Lonchura striata: one gene and its partner. The protein of the gene in region 2 purifies or fractionates together with the protein of the main gene of each other region. This does not show direct contact. Links are inferred from orthologs where the notes say so. Each region holds a gene or a part of one and is shown on either strand. Other genes may lie near its edges.

Region 1 (7,167 bases), on a different chromosome or scaffold from region 2:
TTGATCCCTTTAAGAGCGTAGCCCATGGGAAAGGGTCTGCCCTTGTCCTCCCTGGAGCAAGAACACTCACCACATGGCTGAGGGTCATGACTCGGAGCAAGGTCTCACAGCAGGTCTTCACCACAGCTGCAGGGAAGCAGGGCAGCACATCCCGCAACAGGGCAAGGACATGCAGGGTGGTGGTGGCCTCCTTGGCACCTACAAGAGCAGAGCAACCTCTGAGCCTGTGGGACACTACAGCAAAGCCCCCGTGACAGCAGTGGGGCTGACCCACAGAACTAGGGTGAACACTCCCCTAACTTCTGGGAAAGCACCAGAAGGGCTGAGGAGGCTTCAAAACACCAGAAGTGCCCCAAAGATATCTCATTCCCTCCCCAGCAATCCAGTGTGCTGCAATCTCCCCTCTTCCCTCTAAGTCCTTACTCTCCCACAGTGGCAGAATTCCCCACATGCAGCTACAGACCCCATGCTCCAGTGCCCCACACCTCCAGCTTTTTCAATCTCCTGCACACAGAACTTGGCGGTGGAGGGTGCTGCAGGGTGATGCTCAGGGGCTGCATCACCAAACATGAACTCGCTGCCCCTCAGGACAGAGCACACGCCATACTGCGCTGCTTTCCGCACCTGGGGGAAAAGAACCCAGCTGAGTAGAAACTACAGACCCAGGCGTACAGAAACAAACCCCCAAAGCAGTACCATCTCCTGCCAGAAGCACTGGGCTCTCACCTTGGGCTTGGTATGAACACAAAAGCTCAACAAGCCATGATAGACCTGCAGGGTGACAGGGTAGCTCCAGGCTGCCAAATCTTGCTTCCGTAGCAGTGTGGCCAGGCAAGAGAGGACCTATGACAGGGGAGCAGCAGGGGCATTAGCATCACCCCACAGAGACATCTTCCTTTCCTGCAAGGGCCGCAGGCCAAGCACCCAGCACCACCCTACAGCAGCAGCCTTGACCCCAGCACTCAGCAGACCCCAAGCAGAGCTGACATGGCTGGCTGCCTCTTGGCTACTCACCCATCGCAGGGCAGACGTGGAGCTGCTGCAGGCTTGTGAGGACACAATACTCATGAAGGCTTTTGAGGCATCTGAGAACTTCTTAATAAGAACTGGGCTCGGGACCCTGCCAGAAGGGGACATATCAGTAGGATGAGGAGCAGACAGCTAGTAGCCGTCACAAAGGGGACTGCATCACCAGCTCACCCCAGCTGGATTTCTTTCCCAGCATGGGAAGGTAGGACAGCACCAATCCCTTTTCCATGCTCTCTCTGCTTCTCTGCAAAGTACTCACCGCTTCAGGACAAGGTTAAGCAGGTAGGCAACAGCAGACAGTGATTCAGGGGACTCCACTGCCTCCAGCGTGGTCATCTGAGAACAGAAGGTGGCTAAGCAATGGGGTGGAGGGGGTCACACCACACCAGCCCTTCCCCAACCCCTGGGGAGGGGGAAAAGAAACCAGGAGCAGCCCAACAGCATCTCTGCTGAACAAAGCCACTTGGGCTACAAGCACAGCACCTTTCTCTATCCCTCCTCAGAGCCCACCCATGCTGCCAGCAGCAGCTCCCCCCACGCCTCTTCCACATAACCAGCACTCACCAGCGCAGCAAAGTATTCTGTCTCACTCTCCTTGCCCCCTCGGGAGCGGATCACCTCTGTCACAGCTGCCAGCACGGCACAGATCTGTGAACAGCCAGCAAAACAGCTCAGCATCTTTTAGCCTCGCAGCCAGGGGCCATCCCCACCAGATCCCCCCCTTCCCCAGCCCTGCTCCTGTCCGTACCTCTTTGTGAGCAGCAGAGTTGGATTCCCAGAAGCGCTGCACCTTGCTGAAGGTGATGTTAGTGCAGTCGCTCAGCCCACTCAGAAAGGTGCCAGAGGACTTCTCTGTGGCAGCCTCTTCAGCACTGTCCTCCTCCATACGGAGCTGAGCACTGTCACTCGCCCGCTCCGGACGCAAGGACCCCGACTGCAGCTCATTGTGCAGCTTCACTGCATCCACCGTCAAGTTACTTTTCTCTCCTGGGGTGAGAGATGTGTCAGAACTGTGAAGTCACATTGCTCCACCATTCACCCCGAAATTGCCATATTCCCCTCCCTGCCAGACTGGCGTGGCCGGAGCTCATATCCAGCATGTGGAATACAGGTGCTGCTTTGCCCCAAAGGGCAAAAGCACATTAATAACTGTAAAGACCTCCTCATTCCTGTACAAAAAAACAGAGCACAGTCCAGTCATCTCTGATGGAAGACAGCACCATGCTCACACAAATGTCTGCCGGTGTGCCAAGGCTTTAACACTGAGGTGCTTCTTGTACTCAGCCCTATTTATCTCCTTCCACCTGAAGCCCTAGCAACCAGACAGCCAGGACAGATGCTGTATATTCCTCTGAGTCCCAGACATCAGCCTGCAGCCAACATCTGCATGAGAAAGATTTCCTTGGCCAAGAGCAGCCGGTGTTCTCACAGTGCCTGGCACACTTTGGTTTCCCTCTCCCATCATAAGGCCGGCTAAATGTTAGTTTGTCACGCTCCTCACCACACCAGACACCACAGCAGCACTCAGAAGTATGGCCATGGGTTTTGGGGGACTCGCAGGGCGACAGGAACTGCAGCATGCAGCGGCTCATTCCGCTTCTGAGGCCTGGTATCACTACGAGGTTAACTCCTTACGCCGTGGCCTCGGTCAGCGGCTCCGCTCTCACCGCTGCCCCAGCCGCAGCTCTCGGAGGCTCTCGCCCCACAGCCCTCGGCGCCTCTGCGCCCCTCCGGGAAGCGCTGGGCACAGGACAGGAGCTGCTCGCCCTGGCGCCCTACCGCCCCGCCCGCCCCTGCCCTTACCCGCCGGCCGGCTGCAGAAGCGGCTGCGGGCAGCCAGACGATGCTGGCGGGTCTCGGGGTTGGAGTCGCTGCTGTGGCCCTTCCGCCAACGCTTCAGCTTGGCCGCGGCTCCCGAGCGGAGCCTCCCGCTCCGCGCCATGCTGGGCCCGGCTCCACGTGCGGCCGCGCCCAGCGCCCCCTTTCCGCTTCCGGCGCCGGCCGCCATCTTCAGTGAGGGCAGCCGTCAGGGAAGGCCGAGGGGGCGAGAAGCGGTGTCGGGGAAGCTTAGCGGGGTCGTGCCCAATCGGGGCAGAGATGGGAGACCCGAAGGGCCCCGGGGCAGCCACCAGACATCCCCATGCCCAAGCCGCGGCCCTGTGAAACTCTTCAGACCAAGCCCGCAGCCCGGGGCGAGGAGTCACGTCTTACGTATTACTGCGCACCGTGACGTCACGGTGACGCCACGCCCTGAAGGTCGCACCGCCCTTCGCGGCCGCGCCATGTGGTACGTGCGCCTCCGCCTGGCGTGCGCTCGGCGCATGCGCTTGCCCCGGCGGCGGCGCGCGGGGCGGGGCGGGGCCGAGCGGGGGCGTCAGTCGCGCGCGGCAGCGGCGCGAGCAGCAGCCCCGGTCCCGCCGCGCGCCCGGTCCCGCCGCCCGCCATGGCCGCCGCCTACCGGCTCGTCCTCGTCCGCCACGGCGAGAGCGCCTGGAACCTCGAGAACCGCTTCAGCGGGTGGTACGACGCCGACCTCAGCCCCGCCGGGCAGCAGGAGGCACGGCGCGGTGGCGAGGCCCTCCGAGGTACCGGTGGACGAGGGAGGGGATGCCGGCCAAGAGCGGGGTCGCGGGGGACGGGGGGAAAGGACGCGGCCTAGTGCGGCCCCGTCGAGCCTAACGGGGGCTGGTTCGGGGCTCTCCAGTGCCGGGCGAGGGCCTCCAGTGCCGGGTCGGGGGTTCGGTGCCGCTGGGAGAGCCGTAGGTACCGCAGTATGTTGGTTTTTCGGTACCGGTCGCGTCCTGGCCGCTACCGTTTTCTGTAAAGATGAGGACGCGACCGGTACCGGTGCGGTGAGGCCGCCGCCCTTGCCCTTTCACCGGTTGCATAAGGCCAGGCACTCACCTTCCCGGGCTTCCCCCGCCTCCCCCTCTCCTCGTATATCCTAGATGCCGGCTATGAGTTCGACATCTGCTTCACCTCGGTACAAAAACGGGCGATCCGTACTCTCTGGACCGTCCTGGATGCCATTGATCAGATGTGGCTACCCGTTATCCGGACCTGGCGTTTAAATGAGAGGCACTATGGAGCTCTCACGGGTTTGAACAAGGCTGAGACAGCAGCGAAGCATGGTGAGGCGCAGGTCAAGATCTGGAGGCGCTCCTATGACATCCCTCCACCTCCCATGCAGTCTGACCACCCCTTCTACAGCACTATTGCAAAGGTAAGACCTATTGCTCTTTGATTGCCTTGTTAAGAGTCTCTTAAAAGTCACTTGCACTAAAGCCTGGCTTCCTGTATAAGGTCTTCTGTGTCTCTGTTGCGTTATCTGAGGCTGTTGTGCATGGTGCTGGTAGACTTTAGGCTGAGTTTATCTTGCTTCTTCCGTGTGGAGTTGAACCCCTGGGCATCACACAGCAGAGTCAAAGTGGAGGGCACAGTATCTCTGTTAATCATTAGTGCCATTCATGGATGTGTGATCTGGTTTCTTTGCCCAGAGAGGCAATGTATGACTTTTCCCAGGTGGGCTCATGGCCCTGACTGTGGCCCATTGCAGCCCCAGACTGCAAAGACACTTCTTTGCTTCCAAGCCTGGCTTTGCTTATGTGTAGTGGGGCCTCAGGTAGAGAATCTGGGGGAGAGACAAAATCTTGCTACCATCTTCCCACACTGGATGGGGGGCACTGGGCTGCTGTGTGAGCATGGTCGTTCTCCCAGGATCGCCGCTACGCCGACCTGACAGAGGACCAGCTGCCAACATGCGAGAGCTTGAAGGACACCATTGCCCGGGCTCTGCCTTTTTGGAATGAGGAAATCGTCCCACAGATCAAAGAGGGCAAACGAGTCCTTATTGCTGCTCATGGCAATAGCCTGCGTGGGATTGTCAAGCACCTGGAAGGTAGGTCACCCCTGCATCCCAGGGACCCCTCCTTCCCCATCTGGCACTGTGGGAAGGTCTGAGAGTGACAGCACTGCTGTGTTTGCAGGCATGTCAGAAGAGGCCATCATGGAGCTGAACCTGCCCACTGGCATCCCCATTGTCTACGAACTGGACAAGAACCTGAAACCTGTCAAGCCCATGCAGTTCCTGGGGGATGAGGAGACCGTGCGCAAGGCCATGGAGGCCGTTGCTGCTCAGGGCAAGGCCAAGAAGTGAGGGCAGGCAGCAGACCAGCACGTAGTAGAGCCCCCTGCCATCCCCCACCCCTCTGTTCACACCCCCACAGTTGTAGGAACTCGGAGCTGTGAAGCTGGAGGCACTCCCCTCGGTTAGGCCCGTTCCCTCAGACTAGGCTCCCCTCTGCAGATAGCCTGGGGGCTCCGGGGTGAGGGCTGGACATGGAGGTCTGGTGTGAAAGGGAGCCCTGTCTCTACCAGGCAGCGACCCCACACCTGTCCATGCTGTGATCCCAACCCTCAGACCCTGTCTGCAGAGGGACAGGCCAAGCAATCCCTTACCATGCCAGGCTCTTCCTTTGCTTTGCATCCCTGGCAGCTCTCGTCACCTGTTTACTGTAGTTTTGTCACTTGATTTAGTCCTCCTGGGAGCAGTGTGGCAAGTGCAGTGCCAGCAGTGACCAATGTGGGTACCCCCTCCCCTTGTGGGTGTGTGGCACAGTGACTGGGATGCCGCTGGAAGGGTTGTGTTTTGGTGCACGTGGTGCAGCACCCCAGGGTAGTACTCATGACTCTGGGCCCAGCTCTGCCAGCCCCTGCTTTAACTATACTGCCTTCAGACAAGGGTGAGGGAGGGAGCCTGTTGCCTGGAGGTCTGTGTCTGCAACATGCTTCCCCCAGCTGCTGCCCATCCTCGTCCTGCTGGTGAAGCAGGTGCTGTTGTGTCCCATCCCTCACATGTGTACGTGGCCTGTCACTGTGGCCTCCCCCCTGCCGGTGTCGTGAGCCTGGGCTTGCACAGGGTCAGTGTAACTGTCCAACCATAGCAGCCGTCTTGTTCCAGTTCAATAAAGGAGTAATGCGCAATAAGGAAGTGTCCTTGTGTCTCTGGGCCATGTGGGCTCCCTGCTGCCAGCACGTGCACAAGGCAGCAATCCCTGCTGGGCACAGACAGGAGGGTGCAGAAGCTGTGCCAGGCTCAAGGAGCAAAGCTCAGCTCTGCAATCTCTGCCCAAGAGGGTGACACCCTGCCATGCTCTGGTTTTTGGTCTGTGTGTACCACACCCTTGTTCCATAGGGCAGGGCAAGCATGTGTGGCCTGAGGAGATGAGATACGTCCCCAGGCTATTCTCAGCCACGGCCCACACTGGTTAGTGGTGAGCTGAGACAGGCTCTGCACCAGGCTTGACTCCTGTGTGGGGAAACCAACCTGGTGAGGAGTGCCCAACACAGCTGCAGCCTGGGGCTCTGTGCTGTTGGCGTCACTGCAGCAAAGTCACTCCATCACTCCCCTTCACCAGCAGTGAAAATGTGCTTCCTTCTGCCCCTGCTGCTGTGGAAGCTGTTCCCTCACCTGCTGTGCTGTGGGAGCCAGACCAGAGTGCATGGATAGCCCTGGCTCCCCCACTTACTGTAAAGAACGAAGCAGGAAGCTCTCAAAAAAAATTTATTATCCACAAGTAGCAAACCCATCCTGCCAGTGGAGGCCTGGCTGAACCTGTGAAGGAGGTGGGAGCCCAGGGGCTGCTCTGGCTCCACAGCCACAGTGCTGCAGCCCCCTGCCCCCCTCAGCTGTTACGTCTGCAGGAACTGGGGCTGCACCCGGGCCACCTTACGGAACTCCTTGGTGTGTGTCCGTGGGCACTGCATCTCACACCAGCTGATGGGCACCATCTGCACCCCTGGGCACGTAATGTCAGACTTGCTCTTTCCCAAAGTTGCATTCCTCCATATGGAGAGGGAGGCAGCTGCATCAGCTGCCCCCAAGGCAGGAATGAGGCAGAACTGTTTCAGCCCAGTCCCTGTCTCTGTCCCTGTCCTGCCCTTACCTGCCTCGCTGCGTGCCACCACCACACCCAGCTCGTTCTCTGCTGTGCTCAGCAGGTAGTTGGACTGTGCATCCCCCAGGGAGATCTGGTTGGACAGGGGTTAAGGGACACACTTCCACAAGGGAGCTTGAGCCAACACGGTGTCCCTGAGGAGGAAGGATACAACTTTGGCCAGGACGATGTCACTGGGGCG
Region 2 (7,710 bases):
CCCCTTCCATGGGATCAGGAACCACTTCTGACTGTAGAGACTCCTGCTTGCTTGGATCTGCCTTCATCAGCACCTTGACATCTTCCTCCATCTCAACAGCACCATTTCCAGAGTCATCCTGAAGGGGAAGAGCAGAGTTCCTAGATCTGAACACACCTAACTGAAGCTTGCAGTCAGTCTCAGGTGAAACTCCCTTCATGATGTCATGACATAACCCTCATTACACACTGCAGGCACAAAACCTCAGCCCAGCAGCAGAACACAGATAGAACTCTCCTTCCCCTCTCCTCACCCACATACCCCCAGCTGTATTTTCCCCAATGAAAGTTTAGAAAACTTATGTTCTAAGAGGACTGGCAAAGCTCTCACCCCACACACCTGAACCTCCATGTCCTGGCTCCTCTTCTGTCCTTTAACCACCCGTGGGTTCAAAGAGAGCGGGTCAGGGGGAGCATCCACCTGGCTCAGCTGGAAGTCCCCATGCCCCACGATGTGCACCAGGCTGTTCACGTTGAGGGTCTGTCCCCGGACAAAGCCGGACACCTTCAGGGTGCCCAGCAGGTCGCTGTCCTGGCTGGGCACAAACTCAGCAGCACGGGCCAGCAGGTGAGCGCGGCGGTCCCGGAAAGCCAAGTGCCTCTGCTTCTGGGAGCTGAGGTGCCTCAGGAGCAGCGAGGATTCCTGCTCCGTGTTCAGTGGGAACAGCTTGGCCTCGGGGAAACGCTTCTCAATGGATTTGGAGAGTTTCTTCCTGGCATCTATCCTCTTCTTAGGGGGCAGGTCAGTGCCTCCCGGGACAGCCAGAGCTGCCGAGCAAAGAACAGAGCTCCCATCAGATCCTAAAACTCCTGATGTTCTTTTTACCAAACACAGGCAAACACTTGGATGTCAGCAGCCCAAATGGCCAGATTTGCACCACAGGTACAAAGGGAGTTTGGTTTTAGTGGTGCCCAGCAGAACAAAGAGCAACAGCCATAAACTGAAATGAAAGAACTTCTACCTCAATATAAGAAAAAAGTTCTTTTCACTGAAGGTGACAGAGCCCTGAAATTTAATTACTGTGACACTCATTCCCCATATTAAGCACCCCCAGAAACCCAAAACATTTCTCACCATAACTGGGGAGCCCCTGTGCAAAGAGGCAGGAGAGGCAGTGTTCCCCTGCACTGTCCCATCCATCCACAGGATCCAGGATGAACAGCAGGGAATCAGCAACCTTGGCAAGGTCTAAAACCGCGTGAAGATCCCCTGCACCCAAAACACCTCCATTAGTGGGGCTGCCAGAGGCACCAGAACCAAGAACCCAAGCAACAGCAGTGCCTCCTCACCTGCCTGGGCTGTGACAAAGTGCCAGCGCTGCTTGAGCTGTGGGCAGAGCAGAGCAAAGCCACCAGCTCCGCCCTCATCTGCACGGACAATGGCCGAGCTGAGGCTCTGCAGCAGCCGCAGCGAGTCCTGCACTGCAGCCCGGCTGTGCAGCAGCACCACAACCACCAGGTGCGGGGGGCCATCCCTGCTGCCAAGGCTGCGCTTCTCTGCCAGCACCTGCGGGTGAGGGCAGCGTGTGAATGCCCCAGGGCAGAGTGTGAATGCCCCGGGGCAGGGTGTGGATGCCCGAGGGCAGAGTGTGGATGCCCAAAGGCAGGGTGTGGATGCCCAAAGGCAGGGTGTGGATGCCACAGGGCAGGGTGTGGATGCCCCAGGGCAGAGTGTGGATGCCCCAGGGCACCGTATGGATGCCCCAGGGCAGAGTGTGAATGCCCCAGGGCAGGGTGTGTCGATGCCCCAGGGCAGCGTGTGAATGCCCCAGGGCAGGGTGTGGATGCCCAAAGGCAAGGTGTGGATGCCCCAGGGCATAGTGTGATTGCCCTGGGGCAGAGTGTGAATGCCCCAGGGCAGGGTGTGGATGCCCCGAGGGCAGAGTGTGGATGCCCCAGGGCAGAGTGTGGATGCCCAAAGGCAGGGTGTGGATGCCCAAAGGCAGGGTGTGGATGCCCCAGGGCAGAGTGTGAATGCCCCAGGGCAGCGTGTGGATGCCCCAGGGCAGAGTGTGGATGCCCAAAGGCAGAGTGTGGATGCCCAAAGGCAGGGTGTGGATGCCCAAAGGCAGGGTGTGGATGCCACAGGGCAGGGTGTGGATGCCCCTAGAGCAGAGTGTGGATGCCCCAGGGCAGAGTGTGGATGCCCAAAGGCAGGGTGTGGATGCCCCAGGGCAGAGTGTGAATGCCCCAGGGCAGGGTGTGGATGCCCAAAGGCAGAGTGTGGATGCCCCGAGGGCAGAGTGTGGATGCCTGAGGGCAGAGTGTGAATGCCCCAGGGCAGAGTGTGGATGCCCAAAGGCAGGGTGTGGATGCCCCGGGGCAGGGTGTGTATGCCCCGGGGCAGAGTGTGGATGCCCAAAGGCAGGGTGTGGATGCCCCGGGGCAGGGTGTGTATGCCCCGGGGCAGAGTGTGGATGCCAGCCCGAACGCGCCTCTTCTCCCGCTCCCGACCCAGGCCAGACTTCCCCACACCGCACCCGGTCCGGTAACCCTCCGCTTGGCCCGAACCGGGCCTGGCACCCGCTCGTTTCCTCCGCAAAAACCCAAACCGGTTGGACTGCACGGCCCGCACGCAGAGCCCCACGGCCGCATTCAAGCCCCCTCCGGCACAGACTCGAGCCGACCCGTTTCCCGCTGCCCCGCCACGACCGGCCCGGTTCCGCCGGTGCCTCACCGCCTCCTTGCGCTGCCGGCGGAGCTGCAGCGCCTGATGCCGCCGGTCCACCCTGCTCAGGTCGCGGAGCCGCCGGCGAGGCTGGGCCTTGACGGGGACGCGGCCTGCGGGAAGAGAACGGTAAGGCCGGCGGAGGGGCGGCGGGGAGCCGGCGGGGAGCCCGTGCCGTCTCACCTCCAGCGCGGCGCTGCGAGGAGCCGCTGTGCTTGCCGCCCTTGTGCGCCTTGTTCTGCTGCTTGAGCGGCCCGGGCCGGTGCGCGCCCGCCGCCGCCATCACCATGCTGCCGCCTCGCCGCCGTGCGCCACTTCCGCAGCGACGGGAACCGCGGGATCGCACGTGGGCGGCGAGAGGGAGGGACCGGGAAAGGAACCCCGGGAAAGGAGCCCGGGAGCGGGACCGAGCCCCGGCAAAGGAGCCGGGGACCGGGACCGAGCCCCGGGGCCGGGACCGAGCCCCGGGAAAGAAGCCCGGGACGGGGACTGGGGCAGGGACCGAGCCCCGGGAAAGGAGCCCGGGAGCGGGACCGAGCCCCGGCAAAGGAGCCTGGGACCGGGACCGGGACCGAGCCCCGTCAAAGGAGACCGGGATGGGGACCGGGACCGAGACCCGGGAAAGGAGCCCGGGAACGGGACCGGGACGGAACCCGGGAAAGGGCAAGGGCGAGCCCCGGGACCGAGACCGAGTCCTGGCAAAGGAGACCGGGACCGAGCCCCGTGAAAGGAGCCCGGGAACGGGACCGGGACCGAGCCCCGTGAAAGGAGCCCCGGACCGGGACCGAGCCCCGTGAAAGGAGCCCGGGAACGGGACCGGGACCGAGCCCCGTGAAAGGAGCCCGGAACGGGGACCGGGACCGAGCCCGGGAAAGGAGCCCGGGAACGGGACCGAGCCCCGGGAAAGGAGCCCGGGAACGGGACCGAGCCCCGGGAAAGGAGCCCGAGACGGGGACTGGGACCGACCCCTGGGAAAGGAGCCCCGGGACAGGGACCGGGACCGAGCCCCGGGGAAAGGGCAGGGGCGAGCCCCGAGGCGCGGAGGGTAGAGCCCCGGGGTTGGTGGCCGTAGTGCCGCTGGGCAATGAGAGGCGGGAGGCAGAGCCGTTCGTTCAGCGCTTTATTGGTTGGTTCTTTGTACAGGTATTTACACGGAGAGGGAGACAGGGCTCGGCCGCGCTCCGGGAAGGGCCGGGGGGATGAAGGAGTTGAGGAAAGGCCCTGCCGAGCGTCTGGCATCGCGCCCAGGCGCCAGGACAGGACAAAGCCTGCCGGAGTGGAAACATTCCTCCTGTCCCCGGTCTGTTACCGCGGTGACCTCGGTCTTGCTAATCATTATCCAGGCAGGAATGTCCGTTCCTAGGCAGAGGCCTCAGCCCCCATGGGACATCACCCCAAACCCCAGCAGAGCCTGCCCCGGGATCACTCCATCGCTAGGTTAAACATTCACAGGGGTGTTGCAATCGCCAGGAAAGCTGAAGCAAGCCGAGGGAGAGCCAGGGCAGCTGCATGGGAAGGGAAAAGCAGGTTCCTACAGGTTCCTGCTGCCTCTGAACTTGAGGCATCTTCCCACCTCCTCCTCCTGAGAGGAAATCAGCATGACAGCAGCAATGTCAGGTTGTCAGCTGTGAATGGTCTTTAGGGATCCTTTCCTACCCCTAAAAGCAGACTGGCTGTTTAAACTTTTGAAACTCTAAATATGAGCACTACCTGAGAGGAAGGAAGACACAAAACTGAAGAGTACTGGTGACAGATGAACACTGCAGTGATTGAGTCTCTCTAAACAGGAATCCAGTGGCTGTGGCACAGCATGAGAGTCTCCCCCAAAGGCTGTTTGCCCACAGCACTGCCTCAGCTCTGCCTTGCAGAGCTAAAGGCAAACAGCCTTAGAGGGGGTTCCAGGGAAGAGGGAAAAGCTAGGATACTTCTAAATCAAGGAAAACATCCCGTGAGTTAGTTATACCTTGTCATTTAAGCAAGAGTAGGGAAAGGAGGAAGGCTGGAAACTCTTCCTAGGGTTATCACAAAGCCAAGCACTTCTGCCTTCCAGTCATGCAGAAGTCTGGAAACCCAGAGGCATCAAGAAGGGTTCCACACCATGGGGGCTGATGAGCTTTGCAATTCTCAGTGCTGCTCAGGCTTTCCCACACATCCATACATTGTCATCTTACAGGGATTTCACTGACCTGCACATTCCTGCAGGGCCCTCCAGACACATGCCACCAAAAAATCACAACCTGCCAAGCAGAGCAAGCAGGAACAGAAAGCCAAGCACTGCCTCACAGCATTCCAAGTGAAAACAAGCATCCCTGTTACAGCAGTAACTACCAAGGAAATATTGCTGCAGTCAGTGTGAGCAGGGAATAACCTCCAGCAGCTGAGATGCAAATCCCTGCAGCAAAGCAAGGCCCTGGCAGGGAGAGGGCTCCTCTCAGCTCTCCTGTACCATCACAATACAGAGCCTGGTGCTCTGCACACACAGGATGCTGTGACAGCACCATACATCACCCATGTTGTCCCCTCTGCACCAAAAAGAACAGGCTTTGTATCAGAGCACAAACCCAGACAAGCTGTGCCATGAGTGGAGCTCACAGGCTGCTCCAACTCTATCCGAATCCCAAAAAGCAGCTGCACTGCAGAAAAGCTGAGCTCACATTCCTGTTCCCTATAGAAGGAGCAGCTGCTTCTGAAGCAGCAAGAACTCTGGGCTGACTCCACACAGGGGGAGCAACAAGCTGGGACAGGCTGGATGCAAAGCCAGGGCCTTGGCTTAGGAAGGAAGACTGGTTGCAACTGGAAGGGCCAGTTTATTAGAGAAACCTCACATTGCAGAGAAGTCACAACACATTGGAAAGGTCCAGGCCTGCTGAGGAGGGCCAGTCTTCTGCAGCAGCATAGATCTACATCCCCCAGCCCCAAAAACCCAGCAGGTGCCACAGAGGGAAGGGTTACCTGGAACACAGCTTATGTTTTACAAGCAGCCTGAGAGAAGGGCCAGTAGTAAAGTTCCAAAAAAAATCCTCCCCGGCAGAAAACAGTTACAACAAAAATGGTTTACAATGTTTAAAAGCTCCGTGTTCTTGGCTGCAGCATAAAGGGGAGGCAAAGGTCTACAACACACACAGGCCTCCGTGGCTCTGGGCACTCTGATCTACCAGTGAAGGCCAGAGGGAGGGGTCTTCTCATCTTTGTTGCTTTCCAGGGAAAAGGGTGGGATTCGGACATCAAAGTGGGAGCCATCAGGCCTCTCAAATCGAAAAGTGCCCCTGCAAAAATAATGGCAGAGGTCACACTGAGGCCAGGGACAAACACACCTAAGACACATCAGCAAAAGGGAAAGACCTGAGCTCTTCCACGTCCTGGGGGTCCATCTGCAAGGCTGGTCCAGCAGCAAGGACATGGGCTCAGCTGCAAACATGTGCTGCCAAGATAACTCATTTATGGAGGACTCCTGGGCAGTTTTACAGCACATCCCTAACATATCTCCTGCACAAAGCTGTGATGATTGCAGCCCATAGCAATCATCACATGCACCCAAGCATCCTCCATGCACCTGCAGTGGTGTTTACCCAACTCCCACTCCCCAGGAGACAGAGCCATCTGAGCTATTTTTACAGACTGGTTACATGTAAATTCAGATTTGTGTTTCTTGGCAGGAGCTCCACAGGTTGCCAATGACATTAAGAAGTCCCATCACAGATGTAATTTGGAATAGCTTCAGCTTTGCATTTCAGAACTGAGCCTGCCTGTCCTGGTACAACCATTTGTTTCCTGCTCTGAACTACAGAACACAACGTGGGCAAGAGGGTTGTTGAGATAAATTAACATGTTCTCAGGACAGAGAGGACACAACTGAACACCAGAAGTCAAGCTGAGCAGCTTCTGAGCTGCAGAACCTTTGTCTCTTTGTTGTCAGGATGTATGCAGAGAGGGAAAAACTACTAGACCATCTGGTTTTATTCCCCAGGGCATCCATTCAGGCAATTCAAAACACTTCACATGACAAACAAGGTACACCCTATATACAAAGAGCTGCTCTCCTGTTTTTCCCAACTCAAAGGCAACTTAACTTTGAAGATTTCCTTTAAAAAATGCAGAAGGACCTGTCATATGGAAGGCAAGAGTTTGCTGTGCAATCTTTGTCCACGCAAAGGTGACACAAATGTGCTAACCCAAAAGGCAAATAAAGACAAGCTGCTTTAATCCCAAAGCACAGGGAAAGAACAACTAAGCTGGGCACTTCTCTCCCAGCACTTACAGAAGAAGAAACTTAAACACCAGTTAGACTGGAGTCCTTACCTGGTCTAAACTAGGAAAACCCCTGCATGACCAATTCCTGACACAGATGTGCACAGAGATGGAGTTAAAGCCCAGCCCTCTCTCAAGAGACACCAGAGCACACATCCCTGCTGCTGAGGAATCACCAGTACAAGGCCTTGGCTCTTGCACCAAGGACAAAAGGAAGAATTGCTTAATGTCTCTAAATCCAGTCTACTACAGCAGGAGGATAAATTATCCTGGTGCAGAGAACCAAAAGATCATCTGATCACTAACTAGGATACAGCTAGAGAGAAGCTCATAAAATTTTAGCTACCAGCTATGCCCTGTCCAGTCCACTTCCACCCAGCTTTCAGCCACAACCTCAGGCTGCAATCTGCACCCCAGCTTACTGCTGGGGGGTCCTACACCCAAAACACTGCTGCAACAATAAGGGCTTCTTACCACATGTGACCACTGGATGCCTGCAGGGAGACGTGGCTGCTGTACTGAAATGCTGGCTGTTCTTTGGACAAAACTGGCTCCTGAGAAGACAAAAGACCACTGGGCATCAGCAATTCTACCACAGATAGGCATCAACAGGAAATTTATATAGCATGAGAAAAAAACCAAACAGGGACCTACACCCTAGCACTTCTGCCAATTACACAGCAAACAATTTGTCCACTGAGTAGCACCAGGATCCCATTATTATTCCACTTTTCCAACCACCAGTCATACTCTAAT

The links.
Region 1: the proteins of TSR1 (region 2) and RRP12 purify together in Homo sapiens (affinity purification with mass spectrometry; 3 studies listed by BioGRID and IntAct, counting the BioPlex papers as one, with this or other methods). This does not show direct contact. The link is inferred for Lonchura striata from reciprocal best matches to the Homo sapiens genes TSR1 and RRP12.

Annotation. Positions count from the first base shown.
Region 1 is NC_134609.1:18,922,982-18,930,148, reverse strand, and holds the start of RRP12 (RRP12-like protein), read right to left. Parts: upstream 3,003-7,167; 5' UTR 2,972-3,002; coding exon 2,833-2,971; intron 2,017-2,832; coding exon 1,778-2,016; intron 1,678-1,777; coding exon 1,594-1,677; intron 1,366-1,593; coding exon 1,289-1,365; intron 1,121-1,288; coding exon 1,015-1,120; intron 844-1,014; coding exon 727-843; intron 625-726; coding exon 486-624; intron 199-485; coding exon 71-198; intron 1-70. Other genes in the region: PGAM1 (phosphoglycerate mutase 1), read left to right, coding at 3,473-3,614, 3,978-4,252, 4,747-4,927, 5,016-5,185; EXOSC1 (exosome complex component CSL4), read right to left, coding at 6,714-6,871, 6,975-7,059, 7,138-7,167.
Region 2 is NC_134622.1:7,226,518-7,234,227, forward strand, and holds the start of TSR1 (pre-rRNA-processing protein TSR1 homolog), read right to left. Parts: upstream 3,018-7,710; 5' UTR 2,996-3,017; coding exon 2,890-2,995; intron 2,820-2,889; coding exon 2,716-2,819; intron 1,546-2,715; coding exon 1,329-1,545; intron 1,249-1,328; coding exon 1,114-1,248; intron 807-1,113; coding exon 379-806; intron 119-378; coding exon 1-118. Other genes in the region: POLDIP2 (polymerase delta-interacting protein 2), read right to left, coding at 5,858-5,972, 7,429-7,508. UniProt on the Homo sapiens protein: Required during maturation of the 40S ribosomal subunit in the nucleolus.